5 linked regions of the Cricetulus griseus genome follow. The protein of the gene in region 1 purifies or fractionates together with the protein of each later gene. This does not show direct contact. Links are inferred from orthologs where the notes say so. Each region holds a gene or a part of one and is shown in the gene's direction. Other genes may lie near its edges.

Region 1 (4,493 bases):
AAACTAAGGAGTTTGAGTATGTGCTCCTAGATTCTCTGAGTCTGGAGTGTTGAAGGGACTGTAGAAGAAATAGAAGCAGCATGAAAGTCAGCCTGGGAGCTTCCTGTGCTTTGATGGACATCGTCCAGTTACAGACTAGAAAGACAAAGATCCCTCTTAAAAGTCGAATTTGAATAAAGAAGGTTAACAAAACCATTAACTAGACTTTGGAGAGCAGAGCCGGTGGATGAACTAAACTCTCCATACAGAACATTTCTAGATATGAGTTCAGTGATAAACAGTGTTCATGATTGAACTTCCCCAAGTAGTACTGGTTACAAGAGGCAACTCTTCATCTCCTTTGCAGATTATTTAGTCCTTGTTCAAAGTGTGAATAAAAATGTGATTTGTAGCTGAGCAGTGGTGGCACACACCTTTAATCCCAACACCCGGAAGGTAGAGACAAGTGGATCTCTGTGAGTTCAAGGCCAGCCTTGTCTATAGAGTGAGTTCCAGAACAGCCCAGGGCCACACAGAGAAACAGTCTCCAAAACAAAACTAAAGAGTATGATTTGTACTCAGAGTTTAAATAATTAAATAACATGAATGTAAAGAATGTCCCCATCTCAATACAGCTGTTCTGACATTTACAGTAGAGACTTTAAGTCATATATCTTCATATGTCATCTAAGAATGTTACAACAAACAAAACAGGCCCAAGGGGATGTTTTAAGGAATTTGGAGTTGGGATTGGAAAAGAAGATGTACTTAAAAATATTCTGGGTGTAGAAAAGATAATATATAATATTAATTATTATAATAATATATTAAGTAAAATATAATAAAAATGATAGAACTTGGTTGATAAATGGATTTGTGGGGCCCTAAAGAAATAACATGGAATGAGTTGTTTCTCAATGGAGGCTAGATCCACCCTTTCCATATCTGTGAACTGACACTTTGCTAATGAAATGCTTATGTTTCTTTCAATCATCCGTTCTCTAGTTACTTTAAATTACATTATTTTTAAATTAAGCTATACCATTAAATGTAGCAAGGAAGAAATCAACATGCTATATTAAGTATAACTAGTTCTTGTCTAGAAAGAAATGATCATGGACTGAAGAGCTTCCTCGGGGGTTTGGAGAACTTGTTCTTCTAGAGGGTCTGGAATTGGGTTGCTAGCACCCACATGACTGTTGATAGCTGTCTGTAACTCTACTCCCAGGGGATCCATTGGCTTTTGTGGGTATCAGGCAGACAAGTAGTACAGACAAAACAAGAAGGCAAAACATCCACACACATTAAAAATTAAATAAAGTTATATTGCATTAATGAAATTCAAAGTAGGTACATTTTCTTAAGATTCTTTTTTTAACCCACTAAACACTAAAGCTTGCTTGTTTTAATCACAAACATTGATGACTATTTCTATTCATGCATACTGACTCTATAAGTAATAAGTTTTATCTATTACTGTAGGTCATACCTCACTCCTGTTAGAGACGAAGAGTCTGAATCCCAAAGAAAAGCAAGATCTAGACAAGCAAGACAGTCTAGAAGGTCAACACAGGTATATTTAATGTGTATAATATAAAGAACATGTAGATAATTAATGCATGCCCTTTCATTTTCACTTTGCTGTATGAATAATCAGAAAAGGTAAAGGTTGTTGTACTTATCCTTCCATAGTTTTTGTATATAAGGTTACACTTTTGGTATCTTATTACATCTAATTAGTCCTTTGTCTCTTTGAGTATTGTTTTTAATCCTCCATACCCAATTTGGTTTCTGGTACAGAGTATTCATAGGTGTTAAATGAGTTAATCACATGATGCTTTTGTTTTGTTTTTTTCAAGACAGGGTCTCTCTGTGTAGCCCTGGCTGTCCTGGAACTCACTCTGTAGACCAGGCTGGCCTTGAACTCAGAGGTCCTCCTGCCTCTATCTCACAAGTGCTGAGATTAAAGGCATGCACCATTGCCCAGCCATATGATGCCTTATAATTGTTAAAGTCTTACGAATATGTGGAGGTGAAGGAATGGAAAATAGGCCTGGTGTTCAGTATAGGAAATAGCAAGTTAAGAGTGGTGTCTCTCAAGGTAGTCACTTTCCTACTTCCTGCTCGTTGTTCTGATTATGGTATTTTCCCTACATTTGAGGAACTCCACAGTAGTATGGATTCAACTCTTTGAACCCTACCATTACTTGCCTTTCGAAGCGTTACGTTTGTTTGGTCTTAAGCTATTTTTATTATTTAGCTTGTTTTCAATGGTCTAACCTGAAAACAGTACTTACTTATTGAAGACTTTGTCAAACCTCAAGTTAATGTGTGAAAATGAATCCATGTAGTGTATTATAAAAATGGTATATTGTATGGATTGGCTCTTCTTCTGAAATTAGAAACATTCAGATTTTTCCATTTTCTTAGTATTTTGTTAGTTTATAAATAGAGACTGTTTCTTATCTATAGTTACAACTTTCCCAATTCCTGTCATTGTTGCTGTTTGTAAAGTGAGTGTGACTTACTGTATTAAAATTACATTCATATTTGATTTATCAGCTTGTAAAGTATTCTTTTTAAATGGTCTTTAATGTGTCTCACTATTTATGCCTTTCTGATGTGCAGGGCGTAACACTGACTGATCTTCAGGAAGCTGAAAAAACAATAGGAAGAAGTCGTTCTACAAGAACCAGAGAACAAGAAAATGAAGAGAAAGAAAAAGAGGAAAAAGAAAAACAGGATAAAGAGAAGCAAGAAGAAAAGAAGGAGTCAGAAACATCTAGAGAAGATGAATATAAACAAAAGTATTCCAGATCATATGATGAGGTAATGCTATGGGCAGCATAGCTGAGTCAAGTGTCATGAGGGATTCTTGGGGTTCTGAGTGTGCTGAGATGTATAGCCTAACAAGCTGCGTGACATACGTGAAAGGCTTGGGCTAGAGTCCAAATGGCTTTAGCATGATGCAAATAGTGCTTGTTCTTTGAAGTCAGCATTGTGTCTTATGTGTCTTTACTGTAATTACTATTTCCAATGGGTTTCATCTTTAATGTTTCACAGACTTATACACGTTACAGACCAGTGTCAACCTCCAGTTCCACCACTCCATCATCCTCCTCACTTTCTACTATCAGCAGCTCACTCTATGCTTCAAGTCAGCTAAACAGGCCAAACAGTCTTGTAGGTATAACTTCTGCCTACTCCCGGGGATTAACGAAAGAAAATGAAAGAGGTAAGAAATCACTTTTTCAAGCCATCTTTGAGGAGGTTTCCCTCCTTCCAGTGCACCTCAGGAAGACAATCTTAAACTGATTGAACAGAAATGGTGCAAGCAGTCGTGTTCTGTGTGTTCAAAGGCCCCTGTAGTCTTGTAGTATGGAAGCCATTTGCAGGGAGGAAACAGCAATCATGTTTATACGATTTGCTTTTAATGAAAGATGGGTAGATTTTTCAGTGACTGTGAAGTGGTAGAAAACAGTGGTAAAGGAGCAACTGGGCTCCTACCATCTGTCCCATCATTTGTTTGGTCTGCTTGTTTCCTCGCACATTATTAGTTTGGGTATAAATTACTATCACATATTAATAACTGCATCCCTATTCTTCCCACCAAACACCTTGTTTTCGACTTGCAAATATTGTGTCTTTGGAAAATGTTTTTATTTTGGACAGCAAGAAAGTAGAGATAATTTGTACTCATGGCCAATAACTGTGCCTTAATGGGAGATTGAAATGCATGCTTTGTCAAATATATACAAGTACTGATGGAGGCAAAAATTATTTTTAATTGGAAAAATGTAGACTTCACCTAAGAGGCTAACTTAGAATTGGGGTGTGACTTTTCTTTTATTTTGTAAGTGCTGGGAAAGGATAGATGTATGAGGGTAAGTATGGTGGCTCACCTGTGGGGGTCGGAGGACAGATTGTCAGAATCTGTTCTCCCCTTCCACCGTGTGGGTCCCTTGGCTTGGCAGCAGTCATATTTACCCATTGAACCAGCCAGCCAGTCCTAGAATTGTTTTGCCGTATCCTTGTAAAGACGTTGTCAAGATAAAATGTACTCATGTGGCGTATAATCCATAATAGAGGGAGAGAAGAAAGAAGAGGAAAAAGAAGGTGAAGATAAATCACAAGCTAAATCAATCAGAGAGCGACGGAGACCTAGAGAAAAAAGGCGGTCGACTGGAGTTTCCTTTTGGACACAAGATGTGAGAACCTGTTAAAAACACTTGATAGTACACTTAACCTTCCCAGCGCTTGTTCAGAACTGCTGCATCCCTGAGAGTATATGTGTTTTAAATCATTAGTCCATTATTAAATTTTAAAATACTTTATAAACAGTCACACACACATATATATAACCTGAATAAATATAGCCTCTTGATATTTTTTTGTTTTTAACATTTTTTAGTAATTTCTTCACAAAACTGAGGGTCAAATTGAAGCAACAAACATTCTAGGCAAACGAATGCTTTGGCAGTGAGATACAACCTCAGTCCATAAAACCATTTTAT
Region 2 (4,493 bases), on another chromosome or scaffold:
CATGCTGACCCTGATCCCCACCACCACCACCACCACCACTACTCCACTCCCCCCAACAGCAAGGCTTTAACAGCTGCGTGCTAAAAGAATGTGTTGAGAGCATCTTTTGCTCCTAAGTTTGAGCTGTGGGCAGCTGATGTGGGGGTAAAATGTACTTTCTCACTCTGGAGTCTCGGGAGCTGGTCACCTCTTCTGGTGTGTATTCACTCACCTCTGTCAAAGCATGGTGGGAACAATGGGCTTTTTGTTGGCATTACATCGTTATTCTCGAAGCACTCAAGAGACAGGAGAGCTTGTTAAGATCCCCACACCGTATCTAGCTTTTTTTTTTTTTTTAAGGCATTAAAACTCTGCCTTAGAAGAGCACTTCATCCTGAGAATGTAGTGTGGAAGAATTGATGTGGGCAAAGAAAAGACTTTACCCAGCTCAAGCTTAAGTCATTTGTGTAGCTGTAGTCACAGGGGGCATGTGTGGTTTCCAGCTATGGCTTAGAGTTTAGGGGATTCAAGAAATAGCTCATTTTATACTCCTCATTTTTGTTTTGAATCTGATATACTCCAGTAACAGTGATATTTTAATAATTTGATAGAATATCTCCTAGAATGTCTGTATTGCTTAAGCCACCCTCTCGAGTAGCCTGCATCCATCTATTTAACGGTGCTGATAGCTAGTATTGCATCATATGACAGAATCCCATAGTAGTTTAACTAGAAACAATCGTGTCTTTGGTTTGTTTTTGTTGGTTGATTTTCTTCCAGGCTCTGAGCACAACTCCAGGTTAATTGCATGCCCACAGTAAGGTGTTCATATTTCACTGTCAGTAACTGATCGCAGAAAACACAAAGAGGCATGTATGTCCCCTGAACAAAAGGTCCTGTCATTGATCTAGGACAGGTTCAGTGCACACACCCCACCCAGGCAAGGATTATCGGAAGTTTAGATCTTGCCACTAACAGGGTGGAATTTTTATTATAAGAAGGGCTCCTGTCTCCTTGCTCTGTTGATTCTTGATGAGCTATCTTTGTGGCAAATGTCTGCATGAAGTTTTTGAAGCCATAAACTTCACAGTTTTTAGTGGTAAAACCAATTATGAACTCTATCCTCTATGACGGATGTAGCTGTTCACCTGACACAATGTGGCCTAGGGCAGCAGCCACTCTGTTGAGTGCTCTCTTTTTAGGGAGTCAGTCCTGTATGTGGTTAACATTTAATTACCTACCACTTGGGTGTTTGATATGTTTGTGTTTGTTTGTTCATTTATTTGAGAAAGGGCTTTTCTGTGTATCCCTGGCTGGCCTGGAACTCACTCTGTAGACCAGGCTGGCCTCGAACTCAGAGGTGCACCCACCTCTGCCTCCCAAAGGCTGGGACTAAAGACGTTCACCACTCACTACAGCCAGCTCATGTTTTTAATCTCAAGCCCACCACTCTCCGCCACTGCATGTTCTTGCTACCTTCTCCCTGGCCTCTTTTCCTTTGGATTAGCCAATAGCTGGTCAAGAGGTGTAATCAGTTTTAATAATAATTTCATATAAATGACTTAACCTTGATGTTTGCATAAATAAATTCCCACTGAGAAAGCAAATATCTAACACAGCAGATAATGCCTTCTGATGAAGTATGTTGAATTCTACAACTGATTAGGCTTAAAAGATTTTCTACCATGAAAACATTTTTGGCTGACTCATGAAACAAAAATGTCCCTTTTCATCTGATTCATTTCAGTGATTGAGGTAAAGGCTCGAAGCCTGGGGGACTGCGCCAGGGTGGCCTTCTGTTGCTGACTCTGTTCACTGCTTTTTTTTTTTTAATATGCAGCCCAGTTTGGGGCAGGGGGTCTGTGGTATTTGGGCATTGTTTGTCTTGACCATGGGGTCATGTGGGAGTGGAGGTCAAAACAAATGAGGTCAAAAGAAAGGCCATTGTAATTCTTCAGGTGTGCTGGGACCCAGATGGGACCCGGTAGTGACAGAGCTCGTGGCTGGTATATCCAAACAGCACATTTGAGAAGGATGCAAAGTTCCTGTCACCATTGCTTTTGTTTTGTTTTTTAGGTTCGACTCAGAAGGACAAGCCTTAGATGGTGTTTCCATCTCTGACCTCAGGAGTGGAGGCGCTGGAGGGAACAACACCAACTGGAAAACTTTGTATGAGGCTAAATCGGAGAACTTGGGCCAGGGTGACAAGGTACCTCACGTCTTACTTCACAGAAGCCTAGAAAGCGCTAGATGGTTGAGTGTTTAAATCTGCTTTCAGGTGCTAGTTCAGGGCTGTGTTCTCATCTGGGATCCCAGAGCCCTGTGCCAGAGCGCCAGTTACTGCTTCTTGTTGTTGGTGTCTCTGTCACTGCCAGTATAGAGGCTGTGTGTGTTGAAGGGTGTGTTGTGGCCTCTCGTGTGAAGTAGAAAAGTGTGACAAGTTTCTGGATACTGCGGAAATGGTGGTGACCAGGCTCTGCAGTGTAGTGTGAACTGGCCTCGGGTTCATGTTAGTGTCTGAGCAGAGCATCAGTGTCAGGCTGTCAAGCATCAGGCAGCTCCTGTGGGTTTGAGCCTGAGTTGTAGATGGAGAGCAGCTGCTATCCTGCCAAGGACTGGTATTTGACTTTAGTTACAGCTTTCTGTTTCAGTGTTCCTCCCTTGGCCTAACCTGTGTTCTGCTGGATATTTGAATCATTTATTTCTATTGTGCTCCCTAAGCATCACTTGCTGCGGCTCCTTTATTGTCATCATATACAATATAGGTTTTCTTCCTTACTGTCTCATTTCACTGTGCACTCGATCCATCATTGTCATCCACAGCAACTTATAATACTATTATAGAACATCTTGAGAATTAAACATTGGTTGGATTCTGTTTCTTTTGTCAGCCAGTTGCTCTCTTAAACTAAAGATAGACAGTATGCAGTCAGAACTGAGCATACACTGTTAAATCAGGCTTCAAGTCTGCATCTTACCTGGAAATAGAGAGAAACTCTTTAGGCATTCTAAGGTTTAGCTCTCTACAGCTTTTTCCTCACAATTTTTAAAGTCATTTTTCATTTGCATTTTCCACTGCAGTGTATGGAATTCAAACTGAGCTCTCCCTGTGAGTCCCAGGGACCAGGCTCAGGTCATCCGGCCTGACAGCAAGCGCTTTCCCCCATGAGCTGGCATATTGGCCCCAGCTTGCTTTCTTTTTAATGTTTTTATTTTATGTGTATTAATGTTCTCCCTGGACCCAGCTGGACCCAACACACAAGTTTTCAGGACTCTGTGTTTTCAGTTTATGTTCAGTGGTCAAGTAACATATGACACAAACCAAATGAGTGACTGGTGTCTGAGGAGGTCAGAAGAAGGCATCAGATCCCCTGGAACAGCCACCATGTGGGTGCTGGGGAGCTGAATTTGGTTCCTCTGCAAAAGCAACCAGTGTTCTTAACAGTGGATCCATCTCCCCACCCAGCCACCCCAAGCCTTCTTATGTACTCAGTTCTGTGGAGCTGAGGGTTAAACCCAGCTCCTCGTGCATGCCAGTCAAGCTCTTCCACTGAGCTACACACCCAGCCCTAAAGCTGTCTAAACTGGGTACTAGCATAGTCTTTTTAAATGACCACATTGTTTTGCACCTCTGGTCTGAGACATCAAGTAGACCCAGTGTGAGCCAGGCATGATGGCAAATGCCCTTAATCCCAACACTTGGGCAGCAGAGGCAAGTGGGTCTCTGTGAGTTTGAGGCCAGCCTAGTCTGTATAGAGAGTTTCTGCATAGCCAGGGCTAATTAAAAAGGCCCAATGGTTTTGATAGCCTAGCTCTGAATTCAGGGTATTCCTGGATTCTGCAGTTACTTGACCACTGAACATAAACTGAAAACACAGAGTCCTGAAAACTTGTGTGTTGGGTACAGAGGTAAAGCGGATCCACTCAGAACCCTTAACATGACTTAGTCCTCCTAGGTTACTTAGCAGAGACTACTGTTTACATGGTTGTCGTCGTGGGTACTTTGGCATTCTCTTGAACTTTATTCAGTCCAGGAGTTGTTGCTGGTCAAGACTGTGAACTTGCTGTCTGATGTTGTCAGTAAAAGTTTACTGAGAACCATCTGAGCAGTGATGGTTCTCGACTTTAATCCCAGCACTCCACAGTAGAGGCAGGTGGATCTGTGAGTACGAGGTCAGCCTGGTCTCCAGAGCAAGTTCAGGACAGCCAGGGCTACACAGAGAAGCCCTGTCTCAAAAATATATTTTATTGGATCATCCTCCATCTTCACATTGTCTGGGGTTTGTCTTGCCCCACAGCAGCAGGCTGAGGAGCGGCAGTAGAGACTGACTAAATGAGTTCTTGGGACTAAAGTTTTCCTCTGGCTTGTCACAGGAAAAGCTTCCTGATCCCTAAAAATAAGGTTAGAAATCACTGACATTGTAAAAGATTATGTGTTTGGCCAGCAAGGTGACTCAGTGTGTAAGGCTCCCTGACGCCAAGCCTGACAGCCTGAGTCCAGGCTCCAGGATCAT
Region 3 (3,376 bases), on another chromosome or scaffold:
AGAAGGCTTGCCATGAATATGAGGCTAATCTGCCTACACCAACAACTACACCACTCCTCAGGGTGCGTGTTCAGAAGTAAGTCGAGAACCTGGAGTTTTTGACTCAGACTCAGTGTTTTTTCCTCTCTAATGAGATGAACTAATGAAGAAAATTTTAACTTAGTTACTGAGACTGTGCATCCAAGCCATTGTTATTAGAATACAAAGGAAATGATAACTAGTAAGTGCCCTCCTTGGAGAAGGGTGGTGCTGGAGGCAGGACCCAGGCTCTTTTTCATGCTGAGCACACACTGAGTTGCTCTGACAAACTTACCCAGTCCTAAAATCTAAGAAATGTTTGTGCAATGTTGCTGAGCTTCTGTTTTCATTGGACTTTAACAATTGATGCCATTTATTGAAAGAATAATGTTGTTAATAAATTATTTATTTTAAGATATTGAAACCATCTGAAAAGAAAGCTAAGTACCAGTATGGTGGACTGAATTCTGGACGTCCTGTCACTCCACCTCGAACAGCTAATCCACCGAAGAAAAGGTGAAGAAAGGAATTCTGTAAAGAAAGCATCAGATCTGTTAAGGACATACTTCATAATATAAAGTGTGCACTGTAAAACCATCCAGCCATTCGACACCCTTTATGAGGTCACACCTTTAACTTAAGGAGACGGGTAAAGGAGCTTAAATTTTTTTCTAATAGAAAGATGTGCTACACTGTATTGTAATAAGTATACTCTGTTATAATATTCAACAAAGTTAAATCCAAATTCAAAAGTATCCATTGAAGTTATATCTTCTGGTATCACACTTTTTAAAGATGACAAGCATCCCAGTTAAACTAGCTGTGGTAGTTACCCGATGAAAGCATGACGTTCCATCTGTGTAATGTGGTTTTAGTGTTGCTTGGTTGTTTAATTATTTTGGGCTTGTTTTGTTTTGTTTGTTTTTGCTAGAATAATGGCAACTACTTTTCCTGTTTTTCCCTAAACATTTTAAAAAGTGAAATATGGGAAGAGCTTTAAAGACATTCACCAACTATTAGTTTTCTTCACTTAGCTACTTATGTAACTGTTTGATCTTACTAAGAAAACTTATGCCTCAAAATAACAAAAAGGAATTTTAAGGGTTGATGGGTTTTAAAAATATACAAACTATCTGATCCAATGATTTTAATCAAACAGTTTGACTGGGCAACCTTTGCAGCTGATAATGAATATTTCGCTTTTTACAAAATTGCCACTGATTTGGATTTGTGCACTCTAATTTTTAATTTATTGATGCTCTATTGTGCAGTAGCATTTTGTTTAAGATAAGGCTCATATAGTATTACCCAAAACTAGTTGGTAATGTGATTATGTGGTACCTTGGCTTTAGGTTTTAATTCGCACGAAACACCTTTTGGCATGCTTAACTTTCTGGTAATTACCCTCACCTGCATTGGTTTTGTTTTTTGGGGTTTTTGTTGTTGTTTGTTTGTTTTTAGATCCACAGAACATGAGAATCCTTTTTTTGACAAGCCTTGGAAAGCTGGCGCTCTTCTTTCCCTCTCCATGTGAAGGATGTATTTAAATGAATGCTGGTCAGTGGGACATTTGTCAGCTCTGAGTATCGGGTGCTTCACTGTCTAATAATTGCCATGTGAATGTTGTTTTTGACTGTAAGGCTTTGTCACTAAAGATTTTACTCTGCGTTTTCATAATCAAAGGTCATAATATGTATAGACATGCTTTGTAGTGAAGTATAGTAGCAATAATTTCTGTACATGATCAAGAGTTTATTGCAGCATTTCTTTTCCTGTTCTCTTTTTTTTTTAAGGGTTAGCATTAACAAATGTCAAGGAGTAGCAAGGTCAACACAGATTTTAGAAGGAAGACTTAACAACAGGCACAGATCTGTGGTTCTTTGGATGTGACACTATTGGATGTGATTCTAAAGTCTTTATTGAACATGTCAAATTTGTAAGCTTCATAGGGATGGACATAATATTTATAATGCCCTTCTTATGTGTTACCATAGATGTGAAACCTTATATTGTCTTTGAAAATGTTAAACTGAGAACTCTGTTAACATTTTATGGATTGGCACATTGTATTACTGCAAGAAACATTTGATTTTCAGCACAGTGCAAAAGTTCTTTAAAACGCATTCATCTTTTTTTTTTTCTAATTTTGTTTTAAAGCACATTTTAAATGTAGTTTTCTCATTTAGTAAAAGTTGTCTAATTGATACAAAGCCTGAGTGATCATTCTGTGTTGTTTTACAATGAGACATGTACTGACATAGTTGTAGCCATGTTTCATTAGATGACACACACATTTATCTAATGTGATTTGTTAACTTTGCTGGGGTATAAATCAAATAGTTGCTAATAGGAATTTAGTTGTTATCTCTTAGTTGTCTATATTTAAAGGTAGCTCAAGAAAGTAAGCCTTAATCTCAATATTAGTTAATTTGTATCTTATAGACCAGATTTTTATAAATATTCATTCAGATTAAAACTAAGGAAAAGTAAGCAAATTAGTATTGGTTATTAAAGGATAGACATTATACTATGTAGAAAAATTATTTCAGATCTCTTAAAAACTACTCTACAGCTTCTCATAGATAAGCACTCAGTACATTATGTGCTCCTAACAATAATACAGTAATCACAGCTGAACATATGCAGCTATCACAGATTATTATGCTAGTTTGCTGGCAAAATCTCAAAGACAAAAAATAGAATACAGGCTGCCTTAAGTCCCAAGATTTGTGATGCAGACATGAAGATCTATGAAGTCAGGTCTACATATTAAGATCTTTCTGAGAAAAAAAAAAAATTTTTTTTTACAGTGTCCAGTCACTAGATGAAAAGTTACAGCTGGGCAGTGGTGGCACACGCCTTTAATCCCAGCACTCGAGAGACTGAGGCAGTCAGGACAGCCTCCAAAGCCACAGAAAAACCCTGTCTCGAAAAACAAACAAAAACAAAACAAAACAAAGGGCTAGAGAGATGGCTCAGAGGTTAAGAGTACCGACTGCTCTTCCAGATGTCCTGACTTCAATTCCAGCAACCACATGGTGGCTCACAACCATCCGTTATGAGATCTGGTGCCCTTTTCTGGTGTGCAGATATACATAGAAGCAGAATGTTGTATACATAATAAATAAATAAAATCTAAAAAAAAAGAAAAGTTACAAGCAGTTGCAGAGGACCTGGGTTCAATTCTCAGTACTCACAGGTTGTTCATAGTTGTCTGTAGTGCCTGGCCAAGGGGATCTGCTACCATATGCCCTCGCTGGGCACCAGGCACAGGTGGGTACATAGACAGACATGCAGGCAGAACCCCTATACACATAAAAAGAAAATGTTTAAATGATTTATTTTATTATTTCCTGGA
Region 4 (5,169 bases), on another chromosome or scaffold:
CCTTCCCTTATTCTCTGTGGGTTTTGAGAGGTTCATTTGCTGCCATTTCCCTGAAAGTGATGGAGAGAAGCAAGGTTACTTCATGAATAGCAGAATAGTTTATCCATGAATACTTGCTATTAAGCAGAGAGTTATAAAGGCAAATTAGATCAGGTCACTGTCTTGCTGAATCAGTCCTTCAATCGCTCCATGGTCCCCCTATGCTCTTGTGTTCAAAGTTCACTATCACAGCCTCTCCTAGTCTCCTAGTGTGTCACATTTGTCCCTGCTACTGGGTCTGTTTTTATCCTTTTTTTTTTTTTTTTCTTATCCAGTATACTGTGCCGTCCTCTCTTTGGTCTCAGTTTAGGTGTCATGGGGGAGGGGCTGCTTTCCTGAGCAACTTTGCATTTGTACTTATTTTCCTTCTAAATCTCTTGCTTCCCCTGTAGCAGAGTCTGGGTTGTCCTTGTTTTCTGGGCCTGCTGTGAGCTCTGCTATCTGGTAGAAGCTCAGAGACTGACTGAATGAAGTGTCTTGATAAGTAGGCTGGTTTTTTTTTTTTTTTTTTTTTTTTTTTTTTGATGAGGTAGTGTGCTAAGAATAGAGGCTGTTAGGCTGGCGTTATAGTTCCAATGGTACAGTACTTGCCTAGAATAGATACTCTCACTTTCCTAATGAAGGACTTCCCAATCAAGGGATTTGTTTCCAACAGACCTACCTACCACTTCACCTTTCTAAAATTACGGTACCACCACCATCCATCCCCACTGCATATGCTGATAAGAGGCACTGCTAAATGCCCAACTCGAATCCTGAGCTCTACCTGCAGAATTGGAGGGTTCTTGCAGAGGCCACTAAGGTGGTGGCCCTGCGAATTCTCTTCCCTGTCACCAGCACTCAGTGTTCTCTGCCTGCCAAGCATGGGGTTGGGATAGACGGAGATTTACTCACCATGAAGGAAAATGTGTGGAGCCATCAGGTGTGGATCCATTCTGGCCACCCAGACCTGGAGGCAGGAACACACCCAGAGCTGCAGGAGGCTGAGGGTGGGGATCTGAGCAGGCTCAGGTAAGGGGCCACTGGTACAGTTTAAGAGATTGGGGCTGGGATGCTAGGGACTGGTAGTATTGTCTGGTAAGGGTTTTTGAGAAACCGTTACAACGTGATTATGGACAGGTGGGGATTCTGATGTAAGATGGTATGGGGGTGTAAGTCTGGGTGCAACGAGGCTTCTGGGAGACCAGTGGCAGTCTACGCGGACACAGGAGAAACAAGTGGTATAGCTTGGTGGTGGTAGGGGCAGCCAGGCCAAGGAGGTTCGTAGGGAGCCTCACCTGGACGGTGATACAACCCGGTCACTGTGTTCCCGTAGAACCCCCACGCCAGCTGGATGCCCAGGAGACTTAACACCAACCACAGCAGGAGCAGCTTGAAGAGAGTCACTCGCATGTCTTGTGTCTCCCACTCCCGCAGGAATTCGCTGCCCAGGGTGCCCAGCGCTCCGAGCACCGACGCGGGCAGAGCTTGCAAAAACTGCCCAGACCAAGGTTCCGCCATGACTGGCCAGCGCCCCACCGGGTGTACTGTCACCGTAGTTCTCACTGCGCAAGCGCACGGTCTTCCGGGGTTAGAGAAGTAGGTGCGCACGCGTAATGTCGGGCAAAGACGATCTACTTCGCTTGCGCGAAGTGTTGGCAGTTTGGGGCAGGGCTTTAAAACCGCGCAGGCGCACCCATCCCCGCCCTGCTACTTAAAGGATGAGTGAATCGGTGAGTATAAAATAGCAACTTGGTCTTTTATAGCCCCGGAGTTCCCGTGATGCTCCACGCGGCCGCAATGATTGGTTAAGCGTCTTGCTTTTAGGGCGTGGTTGCGCTCTTGAGCAATCGTGGACGAACTGCGAGAGTGCGCGCGTGCGCGGGGCCGCGACTGGCGCCAGCTCGAGCCCGCAGGGCGCTCGGGGGCGCGCACGTCGCTCCCCGCCCTCCCGCCACCGCCCGCCCTCGTTCGCTCGCGCTCCCCGCCCGCCGCCCGCCGCCCGCGGTCCTCCGTCGGTTCTCTGCTGAGTCCGCCGTCTTCCGCGGAGCTGCCGGTCCTCGTCTCCGAGCTTGCGGACTCGCGGACAGGCGTCCTCGGCGCGAAGAGGCCGGACTTGGAGTGGTCGCCTTGAGGTGAGCAGAAGCATTCCCTCCAGCCGCCTCGGCTCCGGGGGCCCGGCCGGCCGGCCGCCGCCGCCGCCCGCCCGCCCGGCACTTTCCGGCACCCGCCGTCCCCCAGTCGCGGGCGCGCCCCACCTGCTGCTCTCGGCCGGCAGCCCTGGCCCCCCCTGACCGGGGCCCCGCGCCCGAGGCGGCGGCCCCGCCCGCCCCGCGCAGTCCCCGAAGCGCGCCCCGCCGCCTCCAGTCCCCCTTCCCCCGCCCGGCCGGGCCTGGTGGAGCCCTAGCCGCCCGCCCTCCCCGTCGCTTCCTCTCAGGGCTGCGCCGGGCTGGGCGGGGGCTCCCGGCCGGCCCGCGACCGCGCTGGGGGAGTCTGCCACTGTGAAGCGCGCGTGGTGTCGGGAGTTGGAATAGGCAAGAAACTCTTTTACAACTCCATTTTGCCTTTTACATTGAATGTGGATCATTAATCACCGTTTTATACCGGGTGAAGACAGTGAGGCTTTGGGTGGATTTTCTGTTTTCAATGCCGTATTCTTAGAGATTGTGTAAGTAAATGATTGTTTTGAAATCTTAGCGGTGAAGACTGTATGGGGGGAAGGTATTTTCCAGTTGAAAAAACATTGTAAAAATAATTTGGAGAGGTTGCATCGATATAGATGCATTTCTACTTAAAGTTACTGCTTTAATTAGGAATCACTTACAGATGGGTTCCCTTTTCAGGTCGTTTTCTTGAAATTGTACTTTTTGCACCCAAATATTTTTTGTTTGTTTTTGTTTTTTTGATTTGTTTAGTAGCATAAAGTGGGAAATTGGCATCTTTTTTTTTTTGTCCCACAATTGGTTCTACTTGTATTTTCTAATAGTCCTCACTAAGAATTTTAACCTCTGTTGGTTATTCATATGGTTCTTTCTGTCTTCTGACATTCTTTTGAAATAAGTGTTGTTTTGCAGGTTATATATAACCAGATTATATTCCTCTGGCAAACCTGGAGGGATGGGAAACTCAATGTAGTATGTGGTGAGAATTTTCAGCCATTAAGTGTCACATGTCCAAGTGTGAATGTACCGTGTGGATGGTTTCTCACCATCCACATGGTTATCTTGGTAGTGATACTGTCTGGAACATTTAACACAAGTATCCTTGTTAACTTAAAATACAAGGCTAGGTCTTACTATTGAAGGCTCTCAGAACTATTGTGAGAATTTGTCTACTTAGGTGTTTCTTAGGGGCATAAAATATATAGAGAGCTTGTGTTTTCTATTTTATTTTTTTTTTCTCTTTGGTGCTTGAAATTAAACTCAGGGCTTGGGGCATAGTGAGCAGGTGCTATATCTCTGAGCTTTATTCCAGCCCTATAACTAACTGAGTCAAAAGTCAAGTGTTCAACTTACAATGCCGCTACCCAGAAATCTCCTGGAGAAGGAAAATCTGCCAACTTTCCCCCATATAGACTGGAAAAGATTTAAAGGATTTATAGGCTGACTCCATTTGTAGGCGTGGAGACTGAGTTCAGGGACTTTTTTCAAGAGAAAGGTTTATTAGCACTCTGCAGAGAGAACAGTGGGAGAGACCCCTGCCTACTACTTAAGAGAAATGGACACAGAGTCTGACTTGAGCGCTGGAACTTGATTTGTAGATCTAGCTGTCCTGCTTCTGCCTTCTGAATAGTGCTGGGATGTGTACCACCGTTCCTGGTGAGCGTTAAAAATTTTGAAGGTCATATGTCTAGTTAGACTAAAACTACTTTTCTATCTGAAAAAAAAAGTCCTCCGTGTACTCTCGGCTAAAATCAGGGTTCCTGATTACTCTCTTGCTGTTCTTCACCTTGCAGATTGTGCGTATTTAGGGAGAATCTGGTCAGTTCACTTGCCAAACAAATTTCTAGTTTTTTGGGGTTTTTTTGGTTTTTGGAGACAGGGTTTCTCTGTGGCTTTGGAGGCTGTCCTGGAACTAGCTCTTGTAGACCAGGCTGGTCTCGAACTCACAGAGATCCGCCTGCCTCTGCCTCCTGAGTGCTGGGGTTAAAGGCGAGCGCCACCAATGCCCGTCTAAATTTCTAGTTTTTGTACATAGCCCTTTTCTGGCTTAGCCTTGTCTTTGAGTTTGTTGATTTTCTTGAGGACCCAGCCTCTGGGAGTTGACTGTTAACAAAGACAACATAATGAGGTCCCCCTAGAATGTCTTCAGGCTACTATAGCCCCTTTGACTAGATTTTAACTTGAACTGGTGAGAATGCACAAATCACATACATAAGCAGTGGTCTGTGCAGTGTGTGAGAATGGTTTTGTTGGAGTGTTTTCATAGTCCTTATTCTTTGTTCATCATTAATCCTTTTAACAGCCCATCCTCTCTATTAGCGGTGTAAATTTTTAGAAGAGTAAAATGTTCAGGTGTTTCTTAGTCCATGGGGTGGGGTGGAAGTAGGAGGAGGAGGAGGTTAACCTTGAGAGATTGGCTAACCTTGTTGCAAGACTGACTTGAGATTAGTGGGTTCTGTAGACAGTACATTTGGTTCCATGGCGTTATAACTGCTAGCAATGATGGCATGCTGTGTACAAATGCTGAATTTAAAAACTGGAAGTAGGTGAGGTGAGAAACCTATAATTGCAGTACTCCAGGAGGTAGGATTGTTAATTTGAGGCCCGCCTGGGCTATATAACAAAATCCTGTCTCAAAAAAAAAGTTCCTAGTAATGTTCTTCTCTCCTCTTTATGTTTCTACCCAGTAGAACTCAGATGTTGCTCCAAAGCATTAGTTATGTTACTTAACTATTTTTTGTGGTACTGAGAATTGTACCCAACTTTGATGCTAGGCAAGCGTTCTGTTGCTTAGCTATATACTATTAGCCTCTATATATTTTAATTAATGGGTTGATAACCTTTCAGCCGGAGGCTTGAGCCCAGAGCATTACACATACTTGCAAGGGCTCTGCTACTGAAGTATATCCCCAACCCTGATTTTACTTTTGTTTTGAGATAGTCTCATTACACTGTTAGGGTATGACCATGAACTCATCAGCAGCCTAGG
Region 5 (5,114 bases), on another chromosome or scaffold:
ACTCACAAAGATATGCCTACCTTTGCCTCCCGGTGCTGGGATTAAAGGCATATACAACCATGCCCAGCCTGGAGGTAATTTTTTTATTAAAATATTTTATTACATTTTATTTATTTTGTATATATGTCTGCTTGGTGGTCAGAGGACAACCTCTCTTCATTAGGGTATTGGGGCTGGCAGGCTTGGTGGCAATCACCTTTACCCACTGAGCCATTTAGCTGGCTCGCACAACGAGACAATTTTTGGCTCATACAAATGAGAGTGCAGTGTCTCTATATGAATTTCCTCAGAAAGAAAGGCTTCCTCTGTTTTGTTCACCCTGCTCCACGCCTAGAAAAAACTCAGGAACAGAGTAGGCACTCTGTAAATATTTGTCTCCTTAGGGAACCGTCTTATATCCCTGTCCCCAAAGTGTCATTGGGAAGATACACTCTGCCCCAGAGGAGCCCAAGTCCCAGAAACTCCTTGAGAGCCAAACAAGATATTCACAGCAGGGCTTGGCATAGGCCCCAGACGTCAAGATGTCTACTGAGCCAGGTGCCTTGGAGTGACAAATGACACTTGTGGGACTGGTAGGCAAAAACATAGCTTGGGAGAGTAAGTTGGTGACTGAGTAAAATGGTGCAGGCAGTTGAGGGGAGCTGGGATGACTCCAGAAGCTCCACCGTTGGCGCCAGCAGCAGAAAGGAGGCCAGAGATCTGCAAGGGTGCACCCCATGCCATGCTGCTGTGGCCTGGTGAAAATGAATCTCCAGATGGGGAAGCCACCTTGCTAGGAACACACGGAAGGGAATCCGTGCATCCCTTTTGCTTTGAGAATCATGAGCTTTTGGAGTGGGGGGTGGGGAAGAGGATTTTTGTAAACTGTGAAGGGCTGCTTGGAGAGAGAAATGGGTCAGGTGGGTGTGCATTTTCAGATCCAGTTAGCCTGAGAGGCAGCACAGTTGGGGGCTCCCTGGAGAAGGGTGCCCTCGGGGAGGCGATGAAACCAGAGGCAAGCAGCAGTAGAATGTGCTGAAGCCCGGGGCGCACAGCAGCCTCTAACTCGCTTTCCTCCGCAAATTCCCATCTTATCTGCTGCCGTGCGCTCATTCAATCCAGCTCAGGCTAAATCCAGGGGAGAACATCACGGTTATTATATAACTTTCTGAGTTCAAGAAAGATAATCTAAAGATAGGTGACACCTTACAAAAGTCTCCCAACCTCTCCCTAAAATGTAAAACTGCAGAAGTGCACGCAAGAGGTACACAGTTACTGAATTATGCACTACTCACAATGGACTAACGTTTCTTTTATCTGGGGGAGGCTTTCTTTTTTTCAAATACTGGATCTTAGATACTTTATTGCAGTATTACGAAATCTTGGCAGTGCTGGGGATTGAACCCAGGGTCTCACACATACTAGACAAGCGTTCATACCACAGAGTCATACATACAGCTCTTCTTGCTCACCAATATGAGCCGGCATATTTGAATCCTCGACCCTCCAACTTCCTTCTCCTAAAGATCCTCCATGGACATCTCCAACCCAGATTGGTTCCGAGGGGTGGGTGACTGACTCCCTGGTGAGCTCCCACCCCGCCGAGTCTGCAGACATCTGCCCCAAATCAGCAGCACCGGGAGGAGATCTTAACTCTAGCAACGAGCAGCCGCCGGACAATACCCGTCTTTAACTCGCGCGCGCGCCAACTTTGCAACTTCACTCTCCCGCGGGGGGTGGGGTGGGGGTGGGGGTGGGGGCGGGGGGGTGGAGGGTGGGGGTGGGGGTCTATTCCCCGCCCCACCCTCCACTCCCGTCCCCCACCCCCACCCCCCGCCCGTTTGGCGGAAGGATCCCGCGCGCGGATGGGTGTCTCACCGTCTCTGCCAGGCCCCGCCCCTGAAGCGCGAAGGCCGCCCCCTCCCGCAGCGGCCCCGCCCTCCCGCGCCCTATGGGCCTGAAGTCCCGGCCGCCGCTGCACTCCCCGCGCGCGCATCCGTGCGCCGCCCGAGGCTGGCCTGACGAGTCGGCGGCCATTTTGTTCTTCTCGTGGTTCCAGTGGCGAGAGGAGGAGGAAGCCGGGAGCGGGGCGGCTGGGGGGGGGACCCGCCGCGGCTGCTGCTGCCACCGCCGCCGCCACCACCGCTCGTGGGGCTCGTGGCGTGAGGAAGGAGGACGTGTGAGGCCCGGGCGCGAGCCGGCGGCGGCGCCGCTGCGGGAGGGTCGGCGGCAGGACGGCGATGGCGGATATCGATAAACTCAACATCGACAGCATCATCCAACGGCTGCTGGAAGGTGAGCGGCGCGCGGGCGGGCGGGCGGGCGGGGCCGGTGGGACCAGGCCCGGTGGGGACCGGTCCTCGGAAGCCGCTTGGATCTGGGGCGCGCACACAGCGCCTCCGGGTCTAGGGACAGACCCCTTGTTTTTATTACTGCCTCTCCTGCCCTTGCTCTCACATTGTGATAAATCTGGAGTCCAAGGACCCAGTGTGACTTGGCGGGGCGACGTCCCGGGGCGACGAGAGCCCCGTCCCTTGCATCCCCCCCCCCCAAAAAAAAGCCATCCTCCCTCCGGCGCTCTTTCCCCTTGAACGTGCATCCGCACACGGGCCGAGCCGCGACCGGGGTGACAGTGTCTGTGGCTCTCTGCTCATCAGATTGTTGTCCCGAGGAGAGGGGCGCGCTGCTGCATTCAGCGAGCGCCCTGCCAGGTAGGTGCTGTTATCTTGGAAGAAACTTAAAAGACCTCGCCTGACCAAGGGCGAGTCCCGCTTCAAACCCCTGGTAGCCAAGGTCTAGACACGACCTGCCTGCCCTCTTCCACTGTTCACCCTGTGGGAGCGCAGGGCATGCGTGCCTAGTGGCTAAGGGAAGGTTAAAAATCTTTTCTTTTGTCCGACTTATGACGGGGTGGGTGGGGGGCGCTGCAGTGGGTTCCTAGTTGGTGAGAGATTAATATGACATAGGGACTCCCCACAATTCCCGACCTAATGCTGATTGGGTTCTTGACAATGTTATTAACTAGCTGGCTTTTGCTGCTTTTGCCTAAAATACTGTTGGCGTGTAAGAAACATGCCGTGAGTGGTGGTGGTGAACAGCTGCAGAGTCATTGAAAGAAAAGTAAAAAGTGTCTTTTTAATCTGTGCATTTTCTCCCCTAATACTTTATTTTATTGCTTTGTTTAGATCGGGTCTTTTTTGTTTTTGGCTTTGTTGAGACAGGGTCTCTGCAGTCCTGGCTGTCCTGGAGCTCGATGTGTGTAGATCAGGCTAGCCTCAAACTCTCAGATCCCTCTGCCTCCCCTTCCTGAGTGCTGGGGATTAAAGGCTTTTATCATCATTTCCCCTAGATAAAGTCCCACAGAGCCAGAACTGGCCTTGAACTCCTGATCCTTGTGCCTCCTCCCAAGTACTAGAAGTTATAAGCCACCAAGCCTGGGTTATGAAGTCCTGAGGATTGAACCCAAGGCTTCTTCCTACACGCTGAGTAAGCATTCCATCACCTGGGCTGCATCCCCAGCTCAGATTTCGTTGTGTTTTTTTTTTTTTTTTTTTTTTATGTTTAACACTATGCTGAAAAAGTTTTAGCAGTAAACTTGGCTCATCTTTTGTTTTTAAATTTATTTTTCACATGGGATGTGTGTGAGTGCACCCAGGCCACAGCACCCGGGATTAGAGGACAATTGGGTGTGTGTAGTTTGTTCTTATCTTTGTGTAGGCTTGCTTCATCAGCTTTCCTTTCTCCCCCTTTAAAAATTTTTGTTTTTAGATTTTATGTTTTAAGCTTTGTCTTCATATGTATGTGTTTACCACATGCATGCCTATAACCAAGGAGGTTAGAAAGGGGCATTGGGTCCTCTGGGGCTGGAGTTAGATGGTTGTGAGCCACTATCTGTGCTGGGAGCGTAGCCAGGGTTATCCCCAAGAGCAGCAAGTGCTCTTGGCTGCTGAACCATCACCTCAGCCCCCCCTTCTTTTTTCTTTTTTTTTTATGGGGGGAACAGGTTTGAAGACAGCTTTTTTCTACATAGATCAGGCTGGCCTTGAACTCAGCTCTGGGATTAAAGGTGTGTGCCACCATTGATGGGCCCCTATAGTTTCTTGAATGTTACTTTTTAAATTTTGAGACTGAGTGTCACTACCAAGCAAAGGCTAACCTGAGATTTACAGAGATCTGCCTGCCTCTGCCTCCTATAAGTGTTGGAATTGGAGACTTTACCACCATGTCCAGGCTGGTTTTTTATTTTCTTTTGAACTTAATAGAGTAGGATACTATATTTAAATGCTTTGAGAATAAGCTAGTTGCACAGTATATGTTTCTTCTTATTTCTGTATGTGAACTTAACAAAACCACAGCCTTCTGTTGAGGATGTGTGTGCTTCTCCATTAGAGAATGTGGTGTTGTGCTCTCTCTACTTTGTGTACCATCTTTAGGGCCGTCATCTCTGAACACTGGGAGTGAGATTTAAGTAATTCATAGACTCTAGAGATGGCTCAGCTGATAATTAGTGGCTCTGCCCTTAACCACGAAGACCTGATTTGATCCTCAGGACCCACAAGAACTTGAGAGGAGAACCAGACTCTCGCCTGCTTCCCTCCCTCCCCAAACGCTCCCAGCAAGTGTGTACTTGCACACCTCTACATAGTAAAATGAAATTCAGGGTTTAATTCCAAAAGGTGGAGATAAGATTTGTCACTTGATGAGGCATTTTTTCCAATTGATAATTGATTCTTTTGTAGTTGGGCACCTTACTGCCCCAACACTCTGGAGCCTGGGACACGGAAATGCAGACATTCTAGGCCAGGCTGTGTTGGATAGCAATATCTGTCTCACAGTTGGAACCCTTCCTCAAGAACTCCCAAACTTAAGAGCTATGAACGAGCTGAGAAAGGGCTTTGCAAGCGAGGGCTGTATGAACGAGATGGGACAGGGTCTTTAATAATGAGGTGTGGCCATGTGGCACACTCCTTCATCCCAGAGCGGTGAGCTGGGAGGCCAACCTGGTCTACACACCAAATTCCATGCCAGCCAGCTATCCATAGTGAGACCCTGTCTCAAAAAATCAAGGGCTGGAGAGATGGTTAAGAGCATGTTATTCTTCCAGAGGATCCAAGCTCAATTACCAGCACATGGGG

Evidence for each region.
Region 2: the proteins of Ppp1r12a (region 1) and Rpa1 fractionate together in Homo sapiens (co-fractionation; 3 studies listed by BioGRID, with this or other methods). This does not show direct contact. The link is inferred for Cricetulus griseus from reciprocal best matches to the Homo sapiens genes PPP1R12A and RPA1.
Region 3: the proteins of Ppp1r12a (region 1) and Ppp1cb purify together in Homo sapiens (affinity purification with mass spectrometry; 6 studies listed by BioGRID and IntAct, with this or other methods). This does not show direct contact. The link is inferred for Cricetulus griseus from reciprocal best matches to the Homo sapiens genes PPP1R12A and PPP1CB.
Region 4: the proteins of Ppp1r12a (region 1) and Rhoa fractionate together in Homo sapiens (co-fractionation; 3 studies listed by BioGRID and IntAct, with this or other methods). This does not show direct contact. The link is inferred for Cricetulus griseus from reciprocal best matches to the Homo sapiens genes PPP1R12A and RHOA.
Region 5: the proteins of Ppp1r12a (region 1) and Ppp1cc purify together in Homo sapiens (affinity purification with western blotting; 3 studies listed by BioGRID, with this or other methods). This does not show direct contact. The link is inferred for Cricetulus griseus from reciprocal best matches to the Homo sapiens genes PPP1R12A and PPP1CC.

The regions. Positions count from the first base shown.
Region 1 is NW_023276806.1:146,976,411-146,980,903, reverse strand, and holds part of Ppp1r12a (protein phosphatase 1 regulatory subunit 12A), read left to right. Parts: intron 1-1,461; coding exon 1,462-1,552; intron 1,553-2,607; coding exon 2,608-2,808; intron 2,809-3,042; coding exon 3,043-3,214; intron 3,215-4,065; coding exon 4,066-4,187; intron 4,188-4,493. UniProt on the Homo sapiens protein: Key regulator of protein phosphatase 1C (PPP1C). Mediates binding to myosin. As part of the PPP1C complex, involved in dephosphorylation of PLK1. Capable of inhibiting HIF1AN-dependent suppression of HIF1A activity.
Region 2 is NC_048600.1:88,759,764-88,764,256, reverse strand, and holds part of Rpa1 (replication protein A 70 kDa DNA-binding subunit), read left to right. Parts: intron 1-2,055; coding exon 2,056-2,188; intron 2,189-4,493. UniProt on the Homo sapiens protein: As part of the heterotrimeric replication protein A complex (RPA/RP-A), binds and stabilizes single-stranded DNA intermediates that form during DNA replication or upon DNA stress.
Region 3 is NC_048600.1:11,974,248-11,977,623, reverse strand, and holds the end of Ppp1cb (serine/threonine-protein phosphatase PP1-beta catalytic subunit), read left to right. Parts: intron 1-433; coding exon 434-538; 3' UTR 539-2,228; downstream 2,229-3,376. UniProt on the Homo sapiens protein: Protein phosphatase that associates with over 200 regulatory proteins to form highly specific holoenzymes which dephosphorylate hundreds of biological targets.
Region 4 is NC_048597.1:216,484,331-216,489,499, forward strand, and holds the start of Rhoa (transforming protein RhoA), read left to right. Parts: upstream 1-2,011; 5' UTR 2,012-2,153; intron 2,154-2,548; exon of another isoform or gene 2,549-2,686; intron 2,687-5,169. Other genes in the region: Tcta (T-cell leukemia translocation-altered gene protein), read right to left, coding at 1-50, 1,317-1,539. UniProt on the Homo sapiens protein: Small GTPase which cycles between an active GTP-bound and an inactive GDP-bound state.
Region 5 is NC_048597.1:102,007,350-102,012,463, forward strand, and holds the start of Ppp1cc (serine/threonine-protein phosphatase PP1-gamma catalytic subunit), read left to right. Parts: upstream 1-1,997; 5' UTR 1,998-2,219; coding exon 2,220-2,274; intron 2,275-5,114. UniProt on the Homo sapiens protein: Protein phosphatase that associates with over 200 regulatory proteins to form highly specific holoenzymes which dephosphorylate hundreds of biological targets.